Drosophila melanogaster: one gene and its partners. Changing the gene in region 2 together with the main gene of any one other region gives a genetic interaction. Each region holds a gene or a part of one and is shown on either strand. Other genes may lie near its edges.

What was found. Genes that interact genetically often act in the same process or in processes that back each other up.
Region 1: of ey (region 2) and dac, changing one enhances a phenotype caused by changing the other (phenotypic enhancement), as found in Drosophila melanogaster (2 studies listed by BioGRID).
Region 3: of ey (region 2) and Optix, changing one enhances a phenotype caused by changing the other (phenotypic enhancement), as found in Drosophila melanogaster (one study listed by BioGRID).

What each region holds. Positions count from the first base shown.
Region 1 is NT_033779.5:16,480,832-16,489,232, reverse strand, and holds the start of dac (dachshund), read left to right. Parts: upstream 1-3,234; 5' UTR 3,235-3,796; intron 3,797-4,425; 5' UTR 4,426-4,490; coding exon 4,491-5,425; intron 5,426-7,681; coding exon 7,682-7,708; intron 7,709-8,401. Other genes in the region: Nepl8 (Neprilysin-like 8), read right to left, coding at 1-1,030.
Region 2 is NC_004353.4:701,966-710,014, reverse strand, and holds the start of ey (eyeless), read right to left. Parts: upstream 5,365-8,049; 5' UTR 4,851-5,364; coding exon 4,742-4,850; intron 2,587-4,741; exon of another isoform or gene 2,524-2,586; coding exon 2,344-2,523; intron 1-2,343. UniProt on the Drosophila melanogaster protein: Involved in eye morphogenesis.
Region 3 is NT_033778.4:8,028,364-8,036,759, reverse strand, and holds the start of Optix (optix), read right to left. Parts: upstream 5,168-8,396; 5' UTR 4,803-5,167; coding exon 4,516-4,802; intron 3,456-4,515; coding exon 3,337-3,455; intron 2,470-3,336; coding exon 2,220-2,469; intron 1-2,219. UniProt on the Drosophila melanogaster protein: May be involved in head or eye development; development of the clypeolabrum and several head sensory organs.

The DNA.
Region 1 (8,401 bases), on a different chromosome or scaffold from region 2:
TGGAGTCTTCGAAAAATCGTTCCTTATAGAGCATGTTTGCAGCCAAATTCATGTTGCGGCGCACCTGTGACACACACTCCGTGGATTCTCTGCCACCCATGGTTTCATCCAATAGAAATATTGCAAATCGGGTCATTATGTAGCTGGCCACCAGCCGAGCATCCTGTTTGTCCATTAGTTCCTTAAGGGCGGTAAAGTACCTAAAATTGCGCACCAACACTTGGAGTTCTGGGGCTGCGCTGGAGCCTATTAAAATCTCAAAGAAACGCTGCCAGTTGTGACCGGTTTCCATCTGAAAATCGCGGATACTAATGTATCTATTATTCAGTGTGTCGATCGGATTGATCATCGTTTTAAGCAACAATTCAAGCGTTCGCATTTTTCGCGCCAGAGTAATGATTTCACTGGAAGGAACCTTTATGATATAGAGAACGGATAGAATTTCAATAAAACTGTTCGGCAGTTGAGATTCTTCTCCAAAAGTGGGTGTATTTAATTCTACCATGTACTCGCTGGCATTTCGTGGGTTTGACACGACTTCAAGGTTAAAAAACACGTTAGTTAGACCGTAGCGATGCAGATGAGCCAGTGCCTTGAGCCATTTGAAATTCTCCTGGGGCCAAGAACTACCGTCCGGAATGAATTGAGGCCATGTGAGTCCTTCGCCGGGGGAAATCACTTTCAGATACTGGCTTAAACTATCCATATTCCGCGGCGCTCCACGACAACTAAGGTAGTAACGAAGGACCTTGCCATCTACACTAGATACATTAAAGTCCGGCAATTGAGAACTCATTTCCAGCTCGTCCATTAGTTTCACCAAGTTCTGGTTAACCTGGTGATCCAGCATTTGTATAATGTCGAAGAAGGTGTCGTCGATGTGACGCATGTTGTACTGGCCGCAGGCGTGGTTGTAGTAGTTCTCACAGGGATTGGCTTCCTTGTCCACATGACTTAGGATGCCATTTAGAAGTCTTGTATTGGAACTGGCCGCCACAAGGGGCACCAGCAAGAGGCAGATAATCCACATAATAGCTGCGAGCGCACTGAACTTTTGCCATCCAGTCGTCGTTTAAAAATACAAATCTCGACACATCCAGAGAATACTCTATATATGTGGTGAAGGCAAAGCTGATAATCCGAAGTTATGGAACAGTAACTGTCGCTTCAAAGTCCAGAAGTATTATTGATATAACGACTTTCAAATTGACTCCTAGTCCAAATTTGTAATCCAAACTAATAGAAATTAATCACCCTCCTTTTTTTTAGAATATAAACTCATCTTTGCGCTTGCTTGTGGTTAATAAAAAATACAATTTTACTTAATAGTTAGATCAGTTGCATTTATTAAAGAGAAAAACCAGAGTTCAAAGCGAGCTGTTTGTTGCGAAAAATCAAACTTCCCGCCCACAGTTGCGACACCATGAAAAAGTTGCATGTTGTAGAACTCATTTCTTACTGACGATAGTTGGTTGCTATGACATATTTTGACACTTGGATGATAGAGGCAGTACCTTTTTGTTGTCCATTTATGGGGGGAAAACAAATTTGTTTGAATGAATACTTTTTAATTCTGCATGTCATTTTTGGTAAATTTAATGTACTTATTCGAATTTAAAGCCAGCGATTCATGTATATGTCATAATTAAATGAAATTCATATGACATAAGGAAATGGTAAAAGAAAAAATAGCCTAAAATGTCACAGTTTAGAAAAAAAGTAGCGTTACATATTAATTTTCATATCTAATATAATCTTATAACTATTTTTTAATGAAACAAACCGATGTAAAAATAAAATATTTACATTACAATAATTATTGTGTTTTAAATTCTTCTTTAAAGCCCGAAAATATTTTCTAAAAGCTGTTGGAAATCCACATTTGCAATCAATTTAATATTAAATGGTTGCTGTCACCTAAAAGACAGTGGGTGAGGAAATCCACAAAAGAAAAGCCCCAAACGAAACGAACAAGAAAAATTCATACGTCATGTGCAAACACAATACATAAAGACGTATTCCATTCCCATATAGAAAGAAATATGTACATGGAACTCTCAAATGGAGAGAACGGAATGCGATTGGTTCGGCGACGGAATGGCAATCGTTATGGAGAAGAATCGCAGAAGGCGAAACGAAGACAAATAATAGAAAAATGACCGAGCTCTCAGATACATTGTACATAAACATATAGAGGTGGCAAAGGTGCGATGCCAGAATTTATAAGCAATGCTATTTATAAGAACCCGAAAAACGAACGCCCCTCAGGCGAAAAAAAACCCCATTATCGCAATATGTGTAAGTGGAAGAAAGATGCCCTGCCATAGTGCTGCTCTCCTCCGAATCAGCAACACAAAAAGAAATACAAATAAACGGGACTCGAATGGAAACGAATGGGAAACGGAAAACGGTTGACAAAAAAAATCAAAGCTTGGGACGGAAAGAGATAGCAACACTGCCCCGAAAAGTATAATTCGTTGAAAGTTTGTCATTTACTTTTAATTGAAATTAAAATGCTTTTTGTCAAAGACAGCTGCGCAAACTCGAAGTAAAGCTATTTTTTTTTACTTTTCTTCTCTGGCAATGCATTTATTATAATTTACTTTGCAACACAAAATGCCAAAACAATTGTCATTTGTTTATATAAGGCGTCGCCCATGGGGGCGAGCGAGAGCGCAAACATGTACGACTGGCTATGCAAATATGCTGCTTTCTCGCTCGCTCGTGTTTATTGGTTGCAGCCCACCTGAGCGTGCGACAGAGATGGCGAGATGGTGTGAGAGAGAGGGCTCAGACTGAAACGAAATGAAATTGAAATGAAAAACGTTTTTTTTTCCAAAGAGAGAGAGCGGGAGGATTTGAAGAACACAACACGCACAAACGAATTGAAAAAATAAATAAAACGAATGCAAGAGAGAGAGAGCGATTACGTTTGTCATTGTATTTTCGGGGTTGCACACAGAAATATACACAGATGCAAACACACCGATCAATCGCACATACCACTCCCCTTTTTGGCCTGGTATTGGTGTAATGCGAGACGTGGACGGGCAACAGACATTCGTATTCGTACTCGTATTCGTATTCTGGTTTTGCACAATCGCAGATACAGATACACCAGCTCGCTCTCACAGGCACAGACACACACATACAAGCACACTCGTCTCGGCCGACCGCGCTGCCGGCGTCGCTGCCACGAAAATCCGAAAGGAATCGAATTGAAACTCGCCTTTCATTACGAATTTGTCATTCGCAAGAGAAGGTAATGCAATAAAACTTTTGCGCGCGCATTTCTCTCAGTACATAACGGTAGCGCTTCGTGTGTACGTACGTACGTACGTGTGTGTGGGTGGGCTAAAAAAATAGCACTCGTTAGCGCCCGCTCACTCGCTCACTCGCAGTCGTCGCCTCGCGCCGTCTCGCTCTCAGTCGATTCCCATTCGAATGCAATTCGTTTCGTTGATTTCTCCGAACGAGAGGGGGAAGAGGAACCAGTCGAAGGCGAAGAAGCAGAGGCAGCGACGCCACCGTCGCCGTCGCAGCGGAGTAGCTGCCATCTCTCAATCTCTGAGTGACAATCCGTCGGTACGGTACTCGAAAACGGACACAGCTCCGGTTTCCAAAATTCCAGTACGAAAACGGTTATTCGAACTCGATTAACACAAGCGGGCAATCGGAATAAATAACTTGAAATATTCAGAGTATATATTTCACAGCGAAATTCAAAAAGCAAAGTGCGCGAGTGTCTTGTGTCAGTGATGTTGAGTTTATAAATTACTTTTAGACCTCCTTAAAGGTAAATCTATGTTCTATATCGAATTATTCAAATAAAGCTGACAATAGGTATATTTATGCAAATTGGCAGTAAGGATCCAAATTAGCTTCATTGCCTTGTTTTTCCCAAAACTTAATTAAAGCAAAGTTTGCAAAGCAATAGTTCTGTTGATAAAGGATTATTTATGGGGGGTATTAGAAGATAATCGGACTTTAAATGTCTGAAAGGAAACTTTTCTATTTTCTGTTAGTTCTCTATATTTCTTTGTAAGTAAAATGTTTGTTAGGATATTAATTTACAAAAAATATTTAGCAATATAAACTTGTAGCTACCATATAACTAACTAAACTGGCTCAAAAATAGATTTTAATAAATAGGAGCATAGCTGAGCCTAATACAAATCCTAAATCGTTTGTAAATTTTTTGAAGGTCTGCATTTAAATTTGATGTTATAAAACTTACAGAAGTATTAAAAATGTAAAGCCAATAATAAGCGGATAGGAATATACGAGACACGCTCACTTAGAATTTGCATATAGAAGCCTAATAAATAATTAAAAATGAATTAAGAGTTCATTAATTATTTATCTTCCTCTCACCATCTATTTTCTATTTCTCCCTTACTTTGTGTCAAATTTTTGTCACGATAGAAAAAACGTCAAATTAACGAATCGATTAAAAAGTAAATAAACAAAAGTGTCGGCCATGATGAAGTATGGATTCTGTGACAAGTGAACAGAGTGAAAATAACAACAATAAAGCGGGCGCAATAAATAACAATATTAATAGTGGTATTGAAAGAGCCGCGGGCAATATGAACACCACCGCCATGTTGATGCATCACCAGCAGCAGCAGCAGGCAGCCGCAGCAGCGGCAGCCGCAGCAGCCCAGCAGCAACAGCAGCAGCACAATGGACGCGACGGTAGCAACAGTTCGCGTGGAGCCAACGAGGATCGTCCAAATGGACGGAGCTCGCACACAGGACGAGGATCCAGTTGCTCACCGGCCAGTTCACCAAGTCGCCATCCCAGTGCCGTCAGTCCGGTGAGCTCCCTCAACCACTCCATGATGCAGCAGATGCAGCAACAGCAGCAACAACAGCAGCAGCAACAGCAGCAGCAGCAACACCATCAGCTCAGCCCCCCGCCACATGGAATGCCATCGGGCAACGGACTGCCGACGGGCCTACCGCCCAGAATGCCCCATGGACTGCCGCCCCATTCGCTGGGGCTCCTCAACTCCCTGCAGATGATGCACCATGCCTCCCCCTTGGAACTGATGGCCGCCGCCCATCACCATGTGCCGCCAAGGTCGTACAACTCACCGCCGCCGATCTCCACCTCGGATCCCAGTGCCAATGAGTGCAAGCTGGTGGAGTACCGGGGTCAGAAGGTCGCCGCATTCATAATTAGCAACGAAACGATGCTCTGCCTGCCGCAGGCCTTCGAGCTCTTCCTGAAGCACTTGGTCGGCGGTCTGCATACGGTTTATACCAAACTAAAGCGCCTTGACATCGTACCGCTCGTCTGCAATGTGGAACAGGTGCGCATATTACGCGGCTTGGGCGCCATCCAGCCGGGCGTCAATCGCTGCAAGTTGCTCTGCTGCAAGGACTTCGACATCCTCTACAGGGACTGCACCACGGCCAGGTACGAAACCGAAGCAAAAGCATTGGGGGCAGTTCCACACGCAATTGGGGGTTTTTCGTTATTTCAAGACTTCATTTGATTATTTCACTGATCTGTGCTGTGCAGGCGAATATTTTGCAAAGGGAGTTTTTGCTTAGATTTACAGTAAATAGAATAATCTTGTAAGGATTTTATATAAGAATTGGATTGGGATTTAATTGCTTTTGAATACGATTAAATGTTAGTTACAATTTTAAAATAAATTTCTTAACGCTATCCAATGATTTCGCAAAGTGCATGTGCCCAGTTAGTTGCATTTCCAGTTCGGGGTTTGCTCTGCAAAATTTTCTCATTTCCTGTTTCCGCTTTAGCCAACTTACGCACTCAACTTCCACCCCCTGCCGCGGCCGCCCCCAACTTCTTGCATATTCTTGCAACGGTTGCAATGCAAATAGTTTGTGCATCGATATCGATTAACACGGGCAATCAAAAAACTTTCGTTTCGCATTTCGCCGTTTGCCTTTTCCGATGACATTTAGCGGAAATACGCAATGCAAACGTAACGCTCCCCGGTGACCCCTTGCTAACTAACCGAAAGCTGCGTAATTCTTTTGAACGCCTCTAACAATAGTTGGTAAAACAGTTTTCCACCTTGCACAACTTTTCCTCCTGTTTTATCCGATGTTTTTCTGCAATCGACGTGTGCGGTGCGCTGTCAGCTCATTTCCGTTCGAGTGGAAAAAACGACAAGCAAAAACGAAGTTCAGTAGAAATGGGTATCGTGTTTTTTTTTTTTAAATCTTTTGAGGGGGATCTAGGAGCTAGTGGGTCTAAAGTTTTTAATGGTTTAAAATAAAACCATTGTCCTTGGTTACAGAAAGTTTGGCGAGCTAGCCAATTTTCGCCGATTTGTTCAAATGAAGGCGACTGAAATATTTGTGTCTCTAAAATAAATACTTCCTTATAGTTGCAACTTAAGCCAAAAGACTTAAAGAGTTACGTCAAATGATGCAGACTTATACAGAAATATGCAGATATTTATAAATTGTGATTAGATCGAATGGCTTAGATTAGATACAAAAAGGCTTAAAAGATCAACACAATTAAAGGCTAATATTCCGATTGATCCCCAGGAGATCCAAATATTTCATGGATATTTAAACATCTCCTGCCTGAAAGATTTTGAAAAACATTTACTAACTGAACTGCCCATGCATTGAGACATCAACAGTCGAAACGATTACAACCTTGTATTTCAATATCCCTTCTTTTTTTGGTTTTGGTTCTGTTCTGTTCTTATTTTTTTAAGCCAATGTAGAGTCCTGGGGTTTTTGTGTTTACAGTTCTCGGTTGCAGTGAAGAACGGGTTGAACTGGCCGCTGACCACAATGAAGTCGATGGAAAACCATCTAGTTAATTATGGAAAAGGGCTGAGCCACATGTATGGAGTGTGCTCCAAAGTGCACATGCGCTTTGTTCAGAGAACTGAGTACACAGGCAAAAATTGAGATCTTCTTGGATATCGGGTTTAAAAATTTAGATTCACGTAATTTTTATTAGTTTTTTTTTTTTTTTAAACTATGTTAATAGCTAGAAAAGTAAGGTTTGTGTCTTATTGATAACATATATTTTGAAAAGTAAATCCAGCCAAATAAGTCAAATCGAAATTAACGAAAATAGAAATGGTAGTAATATCATTTGTATTGGATTAAACTATTGGATTATTGGATTAAATTGTATTCCGTTGCTATGAAAAACTAGTTACATTTTTCTCAATGAAAAGTTGTACAGAGAGCCAGAACAGAAATAAGGAGACCCAGTCTAAGTACGATTCCCGGTTTTGAAAACCGAACCGGACCGAACATGAGGAACGGTTAAAAATGCGGTTAAACCTATTATTAGGTTGAAAAAGTTTTGCGCTAAATTGAAACAAGTTGGGAGAGCGAGCGAAAGGGGAAATGCGAAACCGCTGAAGGCAGCGCTCTCTGTGGATAATTACAAATTGTTTTTGGCCAGTGGGCTGGATAAAGGGGTCCAGGGGGGGTGGAAAGGGGGGTTCTCGGGGCGTGTGCATTTTCACACCCGCTTGCCCGCCAAAATGCAAGTCCGTCAGAACGAACCCGTCAATGAAAAACTTCCCTTTCAGCATTTGTGCCCCGAATTTAAGCCGTGTTTCCTTCCGTTATGTTGCAGTACTTGTTTTTCGTATTAAAGCTTACACAAAACGTTTAACAATTTTGCCTCACTTGTCTCTTCTTCTTCTCTTTTTAATTGCAGATGCCTATCGATCAAGCCACCAGAAAGGTAAACACACAAGTATAATAAAAAAACTATGGCAATAACTTTTCTCCTCCTACTTTTTGGTTTTTTTTTTTTTTGGTTATTATTTATTTAACGAAGGAAAAAAAGAAACGCATCGTATCGATACACTTGAGAGTTTTTAGAGCGAAAAGAATTTGTTTATTAAATTAATTAAACTCGAAACGGAAATTGGGCGAGCCTCGAATGGCGGAAGTCGAAAGGATATGCCAGCTAAAAAGTGCAAAAAAAAAGAAAGAATGTGAATGCTATAAATAGAGCGTGAAAAAGGGCTATATTTTCGATAAGAAAATGGGGCGGGGCTTAACGGTGTTAACGGTAGATGAAACAGGTGTGTTGGATTGATTTTTGTAGATACGATATGAAAGGAAATACTCTTAACGTGCAGAATTTATGGTTAGAAAATAGGCTTCTCACTTACAAATAAACTGAAATCAAATTTAAAAGTTATGTAATTTTTTTGAAAAATGTTAGAGACGAACCTCTGTTAGTTGGTTGCGAACAATGATCCTCACATTTTCACTCTAAAACACTCTTGAGCTCATCCAATTGTATACGCCTTTTGTTCAAATCAAAACTTACGTTGCAATAATTTTTTATTATATTTGTTTGCCTTTTTTGGGGGCTTCTCCAATGGCAGCCAACTAAAATAATGATTTTTTTAAATATATAACTTTT
Region 2 (8,049 bases):
AAAAGGGTATACTAGATTCGTTGAACAGTATGTAACAGCAAAAATAAAATATAACCGAGTCAAGTTAGCGATGTCCGTCCGTCCGTATGAACGCCCCGATCTCGGTGAGTATGAAAGCTAGAGATGTGACATACATATTAGTCCTTGGCATTTTCCGTGTACACGATTGTGGCCAAATATTCCCACAATATTTACGGATGTCACGGTAACTTAAACACACAAAAAAAACATACAGATGCAAGAGAACTTTGCGACGACCACTCTAATGCCCACTCTTATATTTTCCTATTTTTTCGTTTTATTATTAGTTTTGCATATTTATATCGGTTTAACAAAATCGTTTTGTTTTGAAATTTCTTGTTAGCTGAAGCAGCAAAGTAGCGGGTATCTGATAGTCGAGAATTTCGACTATTGCTATTCCTTGTCTTAATCCGTTCATGTAAGCCATCATCTGACTTAGTTATAATCCAAATGATCTTTCTGTATTCAGAATCAAAGCGGAAAACCTCTGGCGAGCCCTTTTACCTTGATTTCAAACAAGTTAAGATTCCTACACAGATAATTCCAAACACTGTGTTTTGGATTCAATTGAGCGCCCCAACAAGTCATCTTTAACGTGAGATCGGCCTGAACACGTTCATATTATTCAGGAAAGCGGCCATGGCGAGAGTATTTGCGGTATTAGTGCAGGGACTCCGAAATTGGATTGCTTTTCAAAAATGTGATTTGCAGTGTGACAGGATACACAATTTACAAAAACATCTTGCCAGTGGGATTAATAATGTAATTGCTGCACAAATCCGATGGGAAGAAAGACAAAGCCCTGGAAACGGGAACTGGAGATGGACCCTCTAGGGGACTGGTCCATCCATTCAGGGGCAGGGACTGATTTTCCTCGCATGCGAAAATGGACAGAACAGCGGGGTGAGTCTACAAAGACCACGGATACAATGCCAATATGCGTCGGTTCCCGGCAGCCGCTAAAGAGGCTCATTTGGCATTTTTGAGTGCATTGTGTGTGTTTGTATTTACTCGACTTCGGCTTTCAGAGCCATTAATTGTTTCCATTTGTAGCGACTTTACACGAAACGGTCGTCGACAACGAACACACACTTCAAGATCATTAAAGCTGGAAAATTATTGTATTGATTCACGGGCACTACAATAGGGTGACCTGACAGAGAGTACTTAACAGCTCGACGGGCCCGGGATGAGGTTACGTTTAGAAAAGGGATTTGAGGAATGCCTATAATCTACTCCGCAATTCGTAAATTATTGTTTGACTCATCACCGTCTTGAAAGTCTATGCCGATCCCAATTGTCACCGATGATCACCTCTACCCATTGTGCCACTATAATTGGCAGCATGTGCGAGATTTGGAGTCAGCTACTGAACAATGCCATTCCATTCAGCTGTATGCTTTGGGCTTACCCAGACATTGAGCTGTTTTCACACCAATAACAAATCTTCGTGACACATGTTTAGCAATACAAAAAAATTAGCGCGATGTCTTCATACAAGTATTTTGAAATGTTTCCTTAATCTTCTCGGGTCGAGCTATGAAATAGGTATACCTAGTGATTTTGCAGTGGAAAATTATAATAAATTGGAAATACTATAATTATTCACCTCATCCTATATCAGTAAAAGAGCTGTTCTTTAAGTCTTAATATAACTGGATAAAACATTTAGGTTTTTTAGTTTCCGATATCTAATCGCGTATACGGACGAACATTCTGATCAAGAATGTAAATACTTTATTGGTTCGGAAAATCCACCTTCTTCGTGTTACACACTTTTTCTCTAAAAGTGAATTGTATATCTATAAACTAAGGTTCGTCGTACGGTAAAACCATTTCTGTTGTTATTAAAAAGCTTTTGATAATATAACGAATAACAAGCTCTTAATTTATAATACTTGCGGTGTATTAATAGATGTTAGAAATAAATAAAGTGAACTATGAATACAAAAATGTCCTTGGACATTTTCTGAACGCCAAACTACTCTCGGTAATGTTTTTAGAAACAGAACACCAAAGTCGATTTGAAGTTTATAGTAGCCCCCAACATAGGGCAGAATCAAAATACATATCTGTTATCTATCCTAACTGGTATTTAGTGCAAGAAACTGCGATTACACACTAAATTTGCAAAGCTTATGGATCGGTTAGACTCAATAAAATCTATTAATGGTGTATTCATATTTAGTTTATGTAAAGACGGTCTGTGTGTATAAATTTTAATCTATTGGTGAATGTGATATAATAGTATTATAATCGGGGCTATCTGAAATCGAGTGAAAGCGGGAGGGGTTTAGCTATGCGTTATTTATTAAAACGTACATTCATCATCGGTTAAATGGTAGTAAGTTGTGGCGAAGTATGAAGATGTCGAATGGGGATGTGACGCTGTGCTGGCTTCCACGGCTTCCATAGTAGGGGAAGGTTTCCCAGCAATACCGCCTAGTCCGCTACCACCAGCGGTACCCAAACAGGGTAAATTTCTCATTGCAATCACATTGTCTATAAAAAAGAAAATCAAAGGAGTAAAATTCGTATCAAGAAGTCAGTTTGTACTTGGAATTCATTTATAATAATAGTGGAATAGATCTTTAAATTTGAACCAACTTTGAACTTGCTTAAGTGTTTATAAAAATGTAACATATTTTAAGTACTAGTACTTGTAGAGTAAAAGGGTATACTAGATTCGTTCAAAAGTGTGTAACAGGTAGAAGGAAGCGTTTCGACCACATAAAGTATATATATTTTTGATCAGGATCAAAGCTAAGTCATTCTGGCCATGTCCGTCCGTATGAACGTCCAGATCTCATACAGAGGCATACAGAATACAGAATACCCACTCAAACGCACTAAAACCGCCCTAAACTGCCACACCCACACTTTCAAACCATTTTTAAATATTTTCTCATTTTATTCCCGCATATATATTTGCATTCCGTTTGCATTCCCACTAGCGAAGTGAAGGGTATCTGATAGTCGGAACTCGACTAAAGCATTCTCTTTTGTTTTATTTATTCTCTTTGTAATCTATCTATAATCTGAAATCTACTGCAAAAGTTGCCGAACACTCTGCAGATTTTTTGTCCTAGTCTCTAAAGAACATGCATTATTAAACACTCTGAATTCGGGAACTAAAATACTGCAAATTTTAAATTAGACCTGTGTTTGATCGAGAAACTCTACTATAACATTTTCTCTTATTTCAGTTAAGAAGTTGAGCCAGATTGCATAGGAATTAGAATTATTTCATTACATTGTTAGTTACATATTTTCTTACATATATCAGTTATATGTATTAATTAAATTCGGTATACTCTACTTTTTTTGGCAATATAAAATTTCAGGTCATAGTTCGATTCGAATTATTTTTTGTAATATATTATACCTGCAACGAATTGAAAAATCAGGATTACCTAATTGTTTTAATTAAACTGAAACCCAAAAACATAAGCTATGTATTTGGGTTATCATTTTATTGCGAGATAAAAGTGCAAAAAAATGTATTAAAAGTAATCAAACTAATTTCGATTTCAGCAGTAAGCCGCATAGTTTTAAACCTTGCAGGAAAAGACTTCGCAACTTGCGTGCAGAAGGTAGTCGTGAAGAATACAAACGGATAAATCATAGCTAGGTATACAACCAAATGGTTAAAGAATTCAACTAGAATATCACTTTTGACCTAAGCTATTACTTAAAAGAACTAGTTTAAAAAGTTCCCAGTATGAACGAATATATACCATAGACTACTTGGGCCGTTTATGGGGCTTTTAGAAGGAGGCGCTTAATCTTTTTCAGTTAGCGTTATGAGCTAAAACAGGAGAAAGAGAGCTATAGTCCGGTTTATTGACTATCAAATACCCGTAATTGGGCTGCATGTGTGAACGAGAAATTGCAATCTTTTGGCTCTTATAGTTCCTAAGAACTCGACGTCCATGCAGACGGACATGGCTAGACGGACATGGCTAGATTGACCGATTGACCATGATCAAGAATATATATACTTTAAATTTAAAAAATCTAATAACCCTTTAATCTATGAGTAACGAGTATACAAATTTGTATAAAACGAAAGAGTCAGCTAGTATGAAGTACTCAATAATCATATACGCGCGGGATAGCATGAGATACGCCCGTAGGAACGCCATTGATCATTAAACGCCTTTGCGTTGTAATTTACAATGTGAGTGAGTGACAATGGTTTAATATAAAATTAAGCTGCGTATGCATTACTGGAATTTGCATAATTCCTACTTATTTCGCTTCCAAAGGTCTCGACGTCAATACTGACGGACAGACATGCCAACGGTCATCGGAAAATCGACTAGCCGGGAACTCTTCCTTCCACTAACTACTTTAAATACAAATTAGCAACAAGCTACGGGTATAATACAAATATAGGTTTTTCGAATTATAAGAGTCACGGCGAAGATTTGAATATCTTTGATTTGGACAATTTATACGGAGTATAAAGCCGTCTTACTCTCGGGAGTTTGAGTTTGAGAGAAGAGTTCGCAAACGATTCAGTTCAGAAGCTTTTTATCTATTGGTAAACTGCGCCAAAAGAGACCAACAGCCGAACGAAACTGCACTCGCCTAGTAGGACCGGATCAACTGCCCATGGGCAGCATTAACATATGTGTTGGCTAAGACTCATATATATTTATAAGAGGGTCGGATAAAGACGATGATGCCAATCAAGAAATTTAAAAAATTCACTTACCCTTGTGAGCCATGTCTTCTAAAGACGGCAGGCGCTCTATCAATGTTCCCGCTGACCATGGGGGAACCACGGTGCCTATAGCAGTTGGAGTTGGTTGCAATGTAAACATAGTTGGATCTCAGTTTTTATTACATGCACTGCTCATGAAAGCTTTAGCCAAGAGACTGCTGTGTTCAGCCAAACGCACGCCGTGCGAACTCTTGCAGGGCGAGTCAAGCAAGAGTTAAGAGTAAATTTGCGCAGATGGTGAGAATGACGTCCTGCAGTGATCAAAAAACCTATTGTTGATCGCGCCGTGAGGACCTAAGAGTTACGAATTCGGAAACACAAATATAACTGAGCAGCCGCTTTTGTTTTAGTTCACTTGTTCATTTTTCGAACGCCACTTTTGATTGCACTCATGTTAGCATCATATTTGTACTGCACGTAACACGTATTATTCCCGGGTCTACCGATTGCTAACTTAGCCGGTAATTTCATTTGATATAAAGATTAATACGCACGGTGAATCGAACAACCTTTCTTAAACTTCGCGACACGGCGGCGGAACAGTATTTACCTTAGAAGCGCAACACGAAATAATAATGTCACGACCTGCCTACCCGGATCCGTTTCAGAAACAGACTAGGCCGACCCTCGGCTGGCCAGCACCCCCCTGCGCAAAAGGCTGGGTTTGTTGCCACGGAACCGCGTGCGATTGGCAAAGACCAGCATGGCTGGTCCACTCACCACCATTTGCTATAGGCTAGCCCCATGATTGGTTGTTGAAGCACACCAGTTGTCCCTCTCGCACCCGTGTAAGGTTAGTTGGCGGAAGATGAAAGCGATTCGGCACGGTGCAGTTCTGCAGCTGCGTTGTGTCGTTAAGCATATCGTGGCAACGGAATCTGAAAATAAAGGAAGAACCAACTCTAGACGGACCAGCAGCACATAATGGAATGGTTTGGTCCTGAACAGACATGAAAGTGCTGGTCTGGAACTGGATGTTGTTCCTTCCAGCAAGAAACTGTGTGTAAACGGTGCAGCGCCTGCCGCTTTCACCGCCTTTCGAGAAGTCGCCCAGTGCCACACCCCCCCCCCCCCCAGCAATTACACACATGTTGCATTCCATTTGAATTCAAGCTGGCCAGACAAGTTGCCAGCAGCACACTCGTCCAATGGAATTGTTTCATTCCGATACAATAAGCGCTTCACATTTCCGTTAACTACCCGCACGTTTCCGCTTCGGCAGTGCGAGCCTACACACACAGCCATATCGAGGGGAGCTGGGTGTGGGCGTACGGTTGTTTAGTAAAATGTCGACAAGCCTAAGCACGGTCACACCCACCAGCCACCATCCCATAAGCTGTCGTCACATGTGGAGGCTGGGTGGGCCCCAAAGAGGAAGTTCCTGTCCTGCTTTTGCGCCGCACAGCGAGAGAACGAGTTGCCAATAGCCTGAAAGGGACGGCCAGTGTTATGGCTAAAAGGCCATGTTTCAAAATCCTCTAGAGAAATATTAAAAAACTATAGCGCACCTACACGACTGTATGGGATAATGTCGATTTAAGTGCAATTCACAAAATTCAACAGCAATATCCGGCCAATTTTTCTGTTTCCAATACAATTGGGCTCTCCAATGCGAAGAGTTCTTCTCACACGGTTTATAACGTCCTTATGACTTCTGAAAAGTGAAATGTAATAATAATGCATATTACTTCTAAGTCACTTCCAGAATGTTTTTAATGTACCCTTGCAATAGTTCTACATTGTATTTATAATATTTAATTTTGTTCTGTCGAAATTTGTAGCAAATCTGAAAGAATTGGGGTTGAAATATTTGACATATTTTAAAAACATTAGCAATCACTAAACAATTTAACCAAGCCCGTTGACATTTTTATGAATAAAATGCACGCACGATCGATATCTGAATATATGTGAGAATGTTAGGCGCGCAACTGTTCTAAATACTTAACTTACTGGGCGTTTCATTGACTATAAAATGTTTGAACTTACTTTCGCACATGTAATTTTTATTATTACAGGTAAGACTGAATCATTTTCATTTGATCCGATTGCCATATCCCTTTATAATATTCAAGATTTAATATGCACAGATTACATCATAAAACGCCTAAAGGTGGAGGAAACAAATGTTTTTATTAGGCTACATGGTAGCACATGAAAGTATGTCCCCCGCAGGAAGCTGAATCAGCCCTGCTATCATCATATTATCTTCGCACTGGTGCTGAGGATGGAACGCAGCCCAAGCAATCGCCACGTGGCACGTGCCAACGACACGGCACATGCTCGTGGAGCAAAAAGTTGTTCCGTTTCGGCTTAGTCTGCTTCAGATGCAGACCGCCTCCGAGGGTTTCGACACCCATATATTAATAATAGCAAGAATCGCCAATAAAAAACTCTTCGTTTGGAGATTGGCTAGGTCGTCGATTCAGTAAGTGATCGAGATCTGGAATACATGTACTTACATATATATGCTGTTAACGGGATGGAAGTCTGGGTAGGCGGGTATCAATAATACATTTGCGGGCAAAATGTCTCCAAGGGTATATTAAGATATAGGCACTATAGAGTTCTTTCTGACTGTTTTGTGAGTACCGCGATAACAAACATAGCATATGAGTAGAATCGGACAGATGGCTGGGTGGGCGAAAAGATTAGCTACAATAGTTATATAAAAGCATATGTATGTATTTACTTAATTCTCAATTCGCTCATTTGAGTACAAAATCTTATCTATCTGTTACCACCGTCAACGAAAATATCTGATATGAAATGTATTAAGTGGCCCTGTTAACAATATAACTGCCGCCTTTCCTTTTGCATATCTAGTAACGGGAACCTAAGAGTCGAGGAACTCAGCTATAGTATAGACTCTTGCTTAAAACTGACGTTTTTGGCCAAACAAGCTTTTTTCGGCTTAACGCGTAATGTTTTAATGAAAACGCGGCCCATAACGAGCTTTAGTATTTAGCTTATACAATTAAGAAGAAAGAAGGCTAATAGCTTCCCACTCACCAAAGAAACGACATACCACCTCTCCCATTTCTTCCACCACCACCAATTTAGATTTAAGATGATGAAAAATACCCAATCCAGATGGCTATTACATACAGCCAGTGTGTGTGCGGCAACAGTTGCTTTTGTGCTGACATAAAAAAGCGTCGTTCTTCTTATCGTCTGTCCGCAAGACTTCACACGGCCACGCAATGGTATTTAGGGGTGGGGAACGAGAAAAGGGGCGTCTAGCTGTTATATCGCCAAAGTTCGTAGAAAATTCAATAAGGACCTCCGCAAGTTAGTCC
Region 3 (8,396 bases), on a different chromosome or scaffold from region 2:
CTTGATTTTGAATATCTTGCAACTGCAACTGCGACTGCACTGCACTCCACTTGCAATGGCCACTTGGTGGTTGGAGGCATCAGAGCATGACAAGTCAGCAGCGCCAAGTTTCCGCCGTAACGACTCAAGTCGAGTTGAGTCGATCAATCTCCGATGTCTTAATTACTCAATTCGGGAGCGGGAAACGCGCCGAGCCGCTGCCTTTCTCCGCGGAGCCTTTCTAATAGAGTGGATTGCATTGGAGCTGTGCATTTGATTGATTTACCATCTCGTCCGGAGCAGCAAACAGCCGTTTGACATCGCGGCTCCTTCTGCCTTCACGATCTCGTTTCCCAGCTCCAGCTGCCATATCCATGCCCTTACTCGGAGCACTTCTGTTCTGGCCAAGAGTTGGCAGCTTTAAGGCAGCTTTCTTTAACCAAAGATACTAATACTTTATGTATCTTATTAAAGGTAGCAGATACTTTGTAAGGAGGATCAAGGGATTCAGTTCATTAAGTTCTCTTCACTTATTCCATTGGAATTAGAGCTCTTAATGAATAATGATTTAAATGATTGTGAATAGTGCCATCTCACTTATAACCTAGCCATCTTTAACCAACTAGTTGTTTTTGGGTGAAAAGTATCTGGGCAAGGGTGTGCAAAGATTCGGTTAGGAAACTCATCTTGCTGCTCGCGATTCCGACTTCTCCGCCTGTCGCATTCGGTTCGCACAAGTGCAGTAGCAAAAATGTTAACAATTTTTCAGCGCACAATGCTTGAACAGTCAGCGCCTGGTGGTTTGGGTCGGGTTGTCGGTTAGAATGGGTCTGGAACCCCCTCTCCGCTGCCCACGGAGGCCGCGTTGAGGACGCCCCTGTCTGCCGCCTGGCGCTGTCGAAGTCTTGTCTGGCCGTCGCATATGAACGGCTTTTAATTTCATATTTTTTATATGGCCATACTTGGTGTTTCGTATCGCCAGTGCGCCTTTTTGTCTCATCTCTGGGGCTTTTGCTGTGCCGCCGCTGCTTAATAACACGATGACTACACGAAACCGCGGAGCCAAAAACTCGAACCTCAAATTCGAGTTGGGATCCGCGGATCTGGGGATCTGGGGATCTGGGGATCGGGGATCGGCGGATCTGCGGATAGAGTGCGGATGGAGTTGTAATGGCCGCGTATCCGTGGCTGCTGCCGCTTTACAAGCGAAATAATCGCCATCATTTTAACTAATGACCCGCTCGCATCTGGTTTTTATTCGTATTTGTATACTACTTATTTTATTTTGTTTGGCGGCGATGCCATACGCTTGGCGCTTTGTGCAGATTCATTCAATTTGAGACGAGACCGCTGCCGAAGCTGCTCCTAACTTAATAAACACGGCTCTTTGGATGGGATCTCGGAGCTCTCGGCTCTGGGATGTGTTGGTGTGTTGCTGTGGGGCTGCCAGGTTTCCGAGGAATGCCAAATGTTGTCTCGATTTCTTTTACTTTTCCTTTTTCCTCTTTGCTCTTTTTGTGAGCAGGTAGAACTTGAAATATTTGCGCATCTGCAGGAGCAGCCAAACACTTGAGTGGACTACGATTTCGACTCCAGATCTGCGACTCCAGTCCAGTCCAGTGCAGCTCCGACTCCGAATCCGGATTTCTTGCAGTGTCATTCCACTTAACTTGCCTTCTTTCACTTCGAGCGGATCTTCTTCATTTCAACTTCGCGCGAATTGGTCGAGTTTTAACTTCTCCTGCCCATTTTCGCAAGCGGTTGCACCTTTCCAGCTGAAGCATGAGCTGCATTTACACTGTCATCATCGTCATGAACCATCGCTATCATGATCGTCATCTCTGTTCGTTGTCTCCTTCACCATTACGTCCAGGCCAAGATCCATACCCATACCAATACTCATACCCATAACCAAGCCCAAACCCATCGTCATCGTCGGCGGTCAGTTTAATGTGGCCAAAAAGCGACGACCGCAACAAACAGCAGAAATCGAGAACGCTTCACTGGGTGCCGCCACCGCTGCCGCAGATCGGCACGGATCAATGAAATGGAAACGCTCCTGTGCGACCCCCCCACGGCATCCAACTCGTCCACCTCACCCACTGCACCCACTCTCCGGAGGATGATATCCGCTTACCCGGCCCCGATCGGGTTACCAGCCCATCCAGGGCCCAGACCCCAGACCCGTCTAACTCCCAACTCCAATGGCTAATTGAAGCGGTCCATGGTCGATAACTTACCGATTCTTGGCCGCAGCAGCCCGATCCCGCTGGCGGCGGTTCTTGAACCAGTTGCCCACTTGCGTGGGATTCAGGCCGGTGGCCTTGGCCAGCTCCCGCTTCTTGGTGGGATTCGGGTAGGGATCCTGTAGGTACCATTCGCGCAGTAGGCTCCGCGTGCGCTCCTTGAAGCAGTGCGTCTTCTGCTCGCCATCCCAGATCGTCGGCGGCAGGGGGAACTTCTTTCGCACCCGATACTTGTCCACGGGGCCTGCAAGTTTCAATTGCAATTGGATTAATTAAAATAATTTTAATTTTTGTCTAATTTTACAGTAGTTTTGTTTGAACAAATGCTGGCAATAGCTTTCTGAAATTTTCATTAGGGAGTTTGAAACTCCTCGCTCTAAAAACAATTGTCTTGATTGCTACAATTCATTAGAGATTTTTTTACATCAACTATTTGTGTACTGATTATTCGATTTCATTCAAGTTTTTTCTAAAAGGATCGTTTTAAACAGCGAGTTTAAAGTGTGTCTATTATATATTCAAAAACAATTGTATTGCTTTATTTGTTACTTGGATTGTAAATATCATCGTAAAATATCAAAGAAATATTACAAGTAACAATTATGAAAAATATTTGTAAAACTGGTTTGAACATCTTAAAGTAAAATATACGAGCGTAAATTTCTGAATATGTTATTACATAATCATTACATAATTAAGCACTGAAAAACTGGTCTATACCCAATACATACAGTTAGAGAATTAGCTAAATATCAAAAATTGTTCAAACACTTTGAATCGATGTTCAGTGACGACTTTTTAAGTATCGAATTTAAAGTAAGCTCTGTTTTAGTCATTTAACTGAGTCAATAATACAATTAGAATTATAAATAATCTGTTAATCCTTCTTATTACTATGATCGGATTTTCTAAAACACGTTTAGTATTTATTCGACCGCTTTTCAATGCATTTGAAATAACAAATATGTGTAATCAATATGCTTAATGAAAACATTTCGTGGTGTTATAGTAAAACTTAAACTTGTATTTCTACGTTTGTGTTTGAAATTCCCTCATATTTTTTTCAGCATTTTATCACGACATCTATCTTGGAAGTGAATGCCTTACTCACCCAGTGATCGACCGCGCAGCTTCTCGGCCTCAATGTAGTGGGCCTCCAGCCACATGGCCTGCAGTTTGCCGTAGGACGCCTTAGTAAACTTATGATTCTCTATTATTGCATAAAGTTCCCTGAAAAGAGGTGGTCCAGTGTGAGTGTTAGTATCCGGAGTTGAGCTTAAAGTTAATGCGCTGAATTTGCCATCACGATTTCAACCCCATCAACCACCCCTGGGTCCTTTGGACTTTTGGGACACTTGGGACTTCCCGCTGCGAAAGCCATCCCCGCCTCCGAGTTTCTACACCCCTCGACACTCGACGCTCGACAGGCGTCCATATGTATTTTGAAACAATTTCATAAGCATTTATTGTCGTCACTGGTGCTGACAGCTCGGTTGAGTACGTCAAATGGTTTTAATTGGAAGTCGTTTATTTACCAAGTCAAAGCAATCAAATCACTTGCATAGCATCGCCAGATCCGTAAGAGTATATGCACGAACAGGCCATATATGTACTGTATCTGGACATTGATTGATTATACTCGAATTACACGGCCGTGTGCTCGAGCTGCAGTCAGATGAGATGCAAAACCTGATGCAACCGTTTATAGTTGTGATTGCCTGAGCCGATCGGATAATTGTCGATATCGATTGCCAGGGGACCTGTTTTGCCCACTTCGAGACGCGGCAAATGGCCGATTCGTCTAGGCGAAGATCACAAGGCTAAGTCTATCTCGGAGATACCATGGGTAAGCTAATCTTTCGTCATCGTTTGCGAGGGCCTATTGCAAAATTCACCATTCGAGCGAATTGTTTCCGGTTGTCTTAGAAGCCCCCGTGAAATGTGAGAACTTAGAATGTCGTGGCGACGGAAGCCGAAACCCCGATCCTGGCGTGGAACCTATTGTTCGGTCGGTGTTTTATTAATCAAGCCTGCTCCACTTGGCTTTGGGCAGCAGCGAGTTCTTTAATTAGTAAATTAATGCCATTGTTTATTAATTTAGCGGCTCATTGTGCCCTCATTAAGCTGTCGCTGTGCAAAACTATCGGATGTCGGTTGTCGGGGTTAATCAGGACAGGAGGCTGGGACTCTGGCTGACTGGTTTTCTGTTTTTTTTTTTGGTTTTTGGTTTTCTGATCTTCCCAGAGAGTGTCATTCAAGCAGGGGGCTTTTGTGTGTGGCGGATTCCTACCTGAAGTTGCCCACATGGTAGGCGACCACTGCGCGGGCACGGAGCACCGCCTCGCAGTTGAGGATCTCGTGCATGTTGGGCAGGGCCACCGGCAGGCTCCAGAGGAAGCGGGCCAACCGCTCGATGTCGCCGGAGTCCTCGAGCGTCTTGCAAACGATCTCCACCTGGGCGGCGGAGAAGGCCAGCGTTGGAACGGCCAGGATGGGGCTGGGTGCTATAATCTGGTGGTGCGTGGGCGAGAAGCTCTCTGAGGGCGGCTGTTTGCCCTCCGTCGGTCCAACGGCCATTTTATTCGTTGAATCCACTGTGAACAAATTGGCATACTATTCTCCACCGGAACGAAGCAATCTTGCTGGGCACTACACTGGTTTAGTCACTAATTCAATTCCTTGGCTGTTATTCGTTTTTTTTTTTTTTTTTTTTGATGTGTTCACTAGCACTTGGGTGGCTTGATCCGACTCGATTCAGTCCGCCTCGATAAGGTTTTACTGATTGGTTTGGGGTTAGCACTTTGCACGCGCGATCGAGGGCATCTGGCCGTCTGGATGTGTGAGGTGGCCACCGGTTCGACTGGCGTACGAATCCAAATGATTGCCAATGAGCCAGCTCATGAATGCGATACCCGTGCCCGGACCACGAACGGAGCGCAACTGCTGCTCCACATCGAGGCGATAAAGGGGGCCTTTGGCAATGGATATAACCGATGCGGTTCGGTGTGGTGCGATACGATCCAGCGAGCGAGAGAGCGACCAACCAAACGGCCAACCGAGCGCGCAAAAAATACGTCAAATAATGGTCTTGTAACTGAGCTGCCCACTAGGCGACGGGAACGGCACAGAAGCTATACACGCTATAGAGGCTATAGAAGCTATGGCAATGGAGCTCAATCGGCAGAGGCAGCAGCAGCGGCAGTAGCGGCAGTAGCAGCACAACAATGACGCGCCACAGATACAGATACTCTGGCTGGCGGCTCGGCTCAGCTCTCCGGCTGCCACTGCTACTGCTTGCCAGCTGCAGACACGGATACAGATAAAGATACAGCTACAGATACAGATACAGCTGCGGACACAGATACGGGCCGAGATATGGAAACAGAAACGAGTTGGCACCAATACCAGGCCACAACCAGTTTGCCGCACACACAGATAAAGATACGCGAACAGATGCGGATACGGATACTACGACGCACCACCATACCATAGGCACCACTACCACGGGGTGGGCGTGGTCGTCACTGCTCGTTGACGTACGTACGTCTCGCTCTGGCACACGGCCATGCAATGGCGCCACTCTCGACAGCTGTCTCCTTTTCTCCTTTATGCGGTGGTGGCATCGCCTTCATGGGTCTCGTTTAAATGAATCGTACATAAGAGTCGCACGTACACTGGTGCACAGCAACTAATACTGTTGCAGTTCCAGTTCCAGGATAACAACGGCTCGTTGAATAGGGGTTACGAACGTTGTGGCGGCAGTAGTAGGGCTGGGTAACGCCACCGAGGGGGTGAGCTGCAGGCACGGCAGCTCAGATATTGATAAAGAAATCAAATAAAACAACCCGGCAGAACGCAGCAGCCGGGCAGCCGAGCACAGCCGCACAGTGGGGCGAGATCAGCTGGATTATGTTTATATGCCGTGGAAAATTCGAGGGTCTTTATTTACTAAAGATATTCTGTCAAGTCATTGATCACAAGCACGATACAAGTTGGAAGAAAGAATTGCCAGAGTCAAGATCGCACGGTTATATGAATGTTTTTCAATATATCAAGTTGTTTATACACACGCACTTCAGTAAATGCTTATTTTGGCCTTGTAGATTTTCATAAACCGTAACATTTATAGGTCATGTTGTTAAAAACGCTTTCTTTTGTATCTGTATATTTCTTATAAACCTAATTCGCTTATTTGTTAACAACATAACTTAAGAGAGGTAGCACATACGAAAAAAAAGTTACAAATTAACTGATCTAACTTAGTCGAAACTTGGATCCGCTTTTCATTGATTTCGCATCACGGTAAGTGAAGCATATTGTATAAGTGTAGCAAAATGTTTGACACCATGTGGTCTGGCAACCTCTGCCGCCGCTCCTTCCTCTGCCCTTCTCTTCCCATGCCATTTCCCCCTTTCTGAAGCCCCTACTCTCGCTCACTGTAAGCCATATCCTTGTGCCAGGACGAACCTCCAGCCCTCTCATCCGCCATTTATATGCACATATATATGACCAAGGAGAAAATCACGTTTTCATTTTGGCAAAGGGAACTTTTGATTATGCCCGTCGAATGGGGCAAAATATTCACGAGCAAAAGTTTTTATTGTGGCGCTGTCAGTAGTGTTGGTTGTCGGGTCTTGGTGCTTCATCATGCTCCGTGTTTGACAGGATCCGGAAATAGCCAGGAGGAGGAGGGGATGGCTTGGAGGTGGGCGGTGTTCGGCGCGGACAGGGCACACGCTAATGTATCGTTCGCGCTTTTGTCCGGAGTGTTAACAGATTAGTTGTTTACATGCCACAAGTAAATGAGTTTTCCAAAAGTGTAGCCGCGGGCTTCAAACGTACCGCCACCCCGTGAGACAGCCCACCACCCCCCGGCCACCCTAACCAATACAACCAATGTAAAATCTCATGCACACATACTTACACACATACACATACATATATGCATGTACATCGTGAAAACACAAGCACACGAACATCGCCATTGCTACCTCGCTCTCGCTCTACCTCTTGTCTCTTTCCCTCCCCAACCCAATCCCCTACCAAACTAACCCCCTCCCCCCTCTCAACCAACCTTGTTAAATCTGAACGATGACTTTTTGAGTAGTTGGTTGAACATTTTGGACAATTGCATTACGTGAACGACAAACGCTGCGCGTATGGATGTGAATGGGTAAGTGACGTCGGCCACACAGATATATACATACATACTGAGATACGGATACAGATACAGGTTCGCACCAAGATACAGCCTGGCAGATGCTGGATGATAGCGCACGCTCCGCTACAGCTCCAGCACCAGCTCCCACATGGCCACATTATGTGCTGCCACGGCCGATGTCCTCTGAATACGCTCATTATAGTATCGATCACCTTTCATGCGCCACAATTGAGGATGGAGTAAGAGATACAATCGCATCATGGCCAAGCCGCTGCAGATACATGCTGAAATGCAAATGTAATACCGAAAGGGCCGCGGGGCACACATTTTGAGCAGCGATATAAGTTCAAAACATGGGAGTAGAAAAATTACAGCTGTTAAGGACGTAAAAGGAATATATAGGAATATAGGTAGATATTTTAAAGATATGTATTTTAAAGCCACTTTCGAAAGACCATGAAACTGAAAACGAAATTAACATAACTTTGTTGTAAATTATTAGAAAATCATGTTTGAGCTCATCTTAAATAAAATCAGAAATATTACGTAATAACTCTCAAAATAGAAATGAAAGGAATTTATTCCTTATGACTACATTTGAGATAGGTAAGGGAATATTCAAATGAAGGACTGCATTTCGATGTTTTATGAACGGCCAATAAACATTTGAGTGATTTTCGAAAGGGAGAACGTCGAGTAGCTCATGTTTCCGGGGATCAATCAGTTGAACAAACATCTTCGAATCGGCGTGCCCCAGCTATTCTCTTCTTCTTTCTTCTGAAGGCCAGAAAGCAATTGCAATCCCATTTGAATTGCCTAACGAAGCGCGGATTTTCGTTCATTTGGGGGTTCACTTGGAGCACGCCGTATAATGTCATATTGTTGACAATTTCGCTTGCGGTGCTAATCAAAATATCCAACTTCGGGAGGATGAGCAACTTCCCCGTGGTGAGTGACTGAGTGAGTGAGTGAGTGGCTCCGGCTAACTGTGTCACTGGCGCAATCAAATC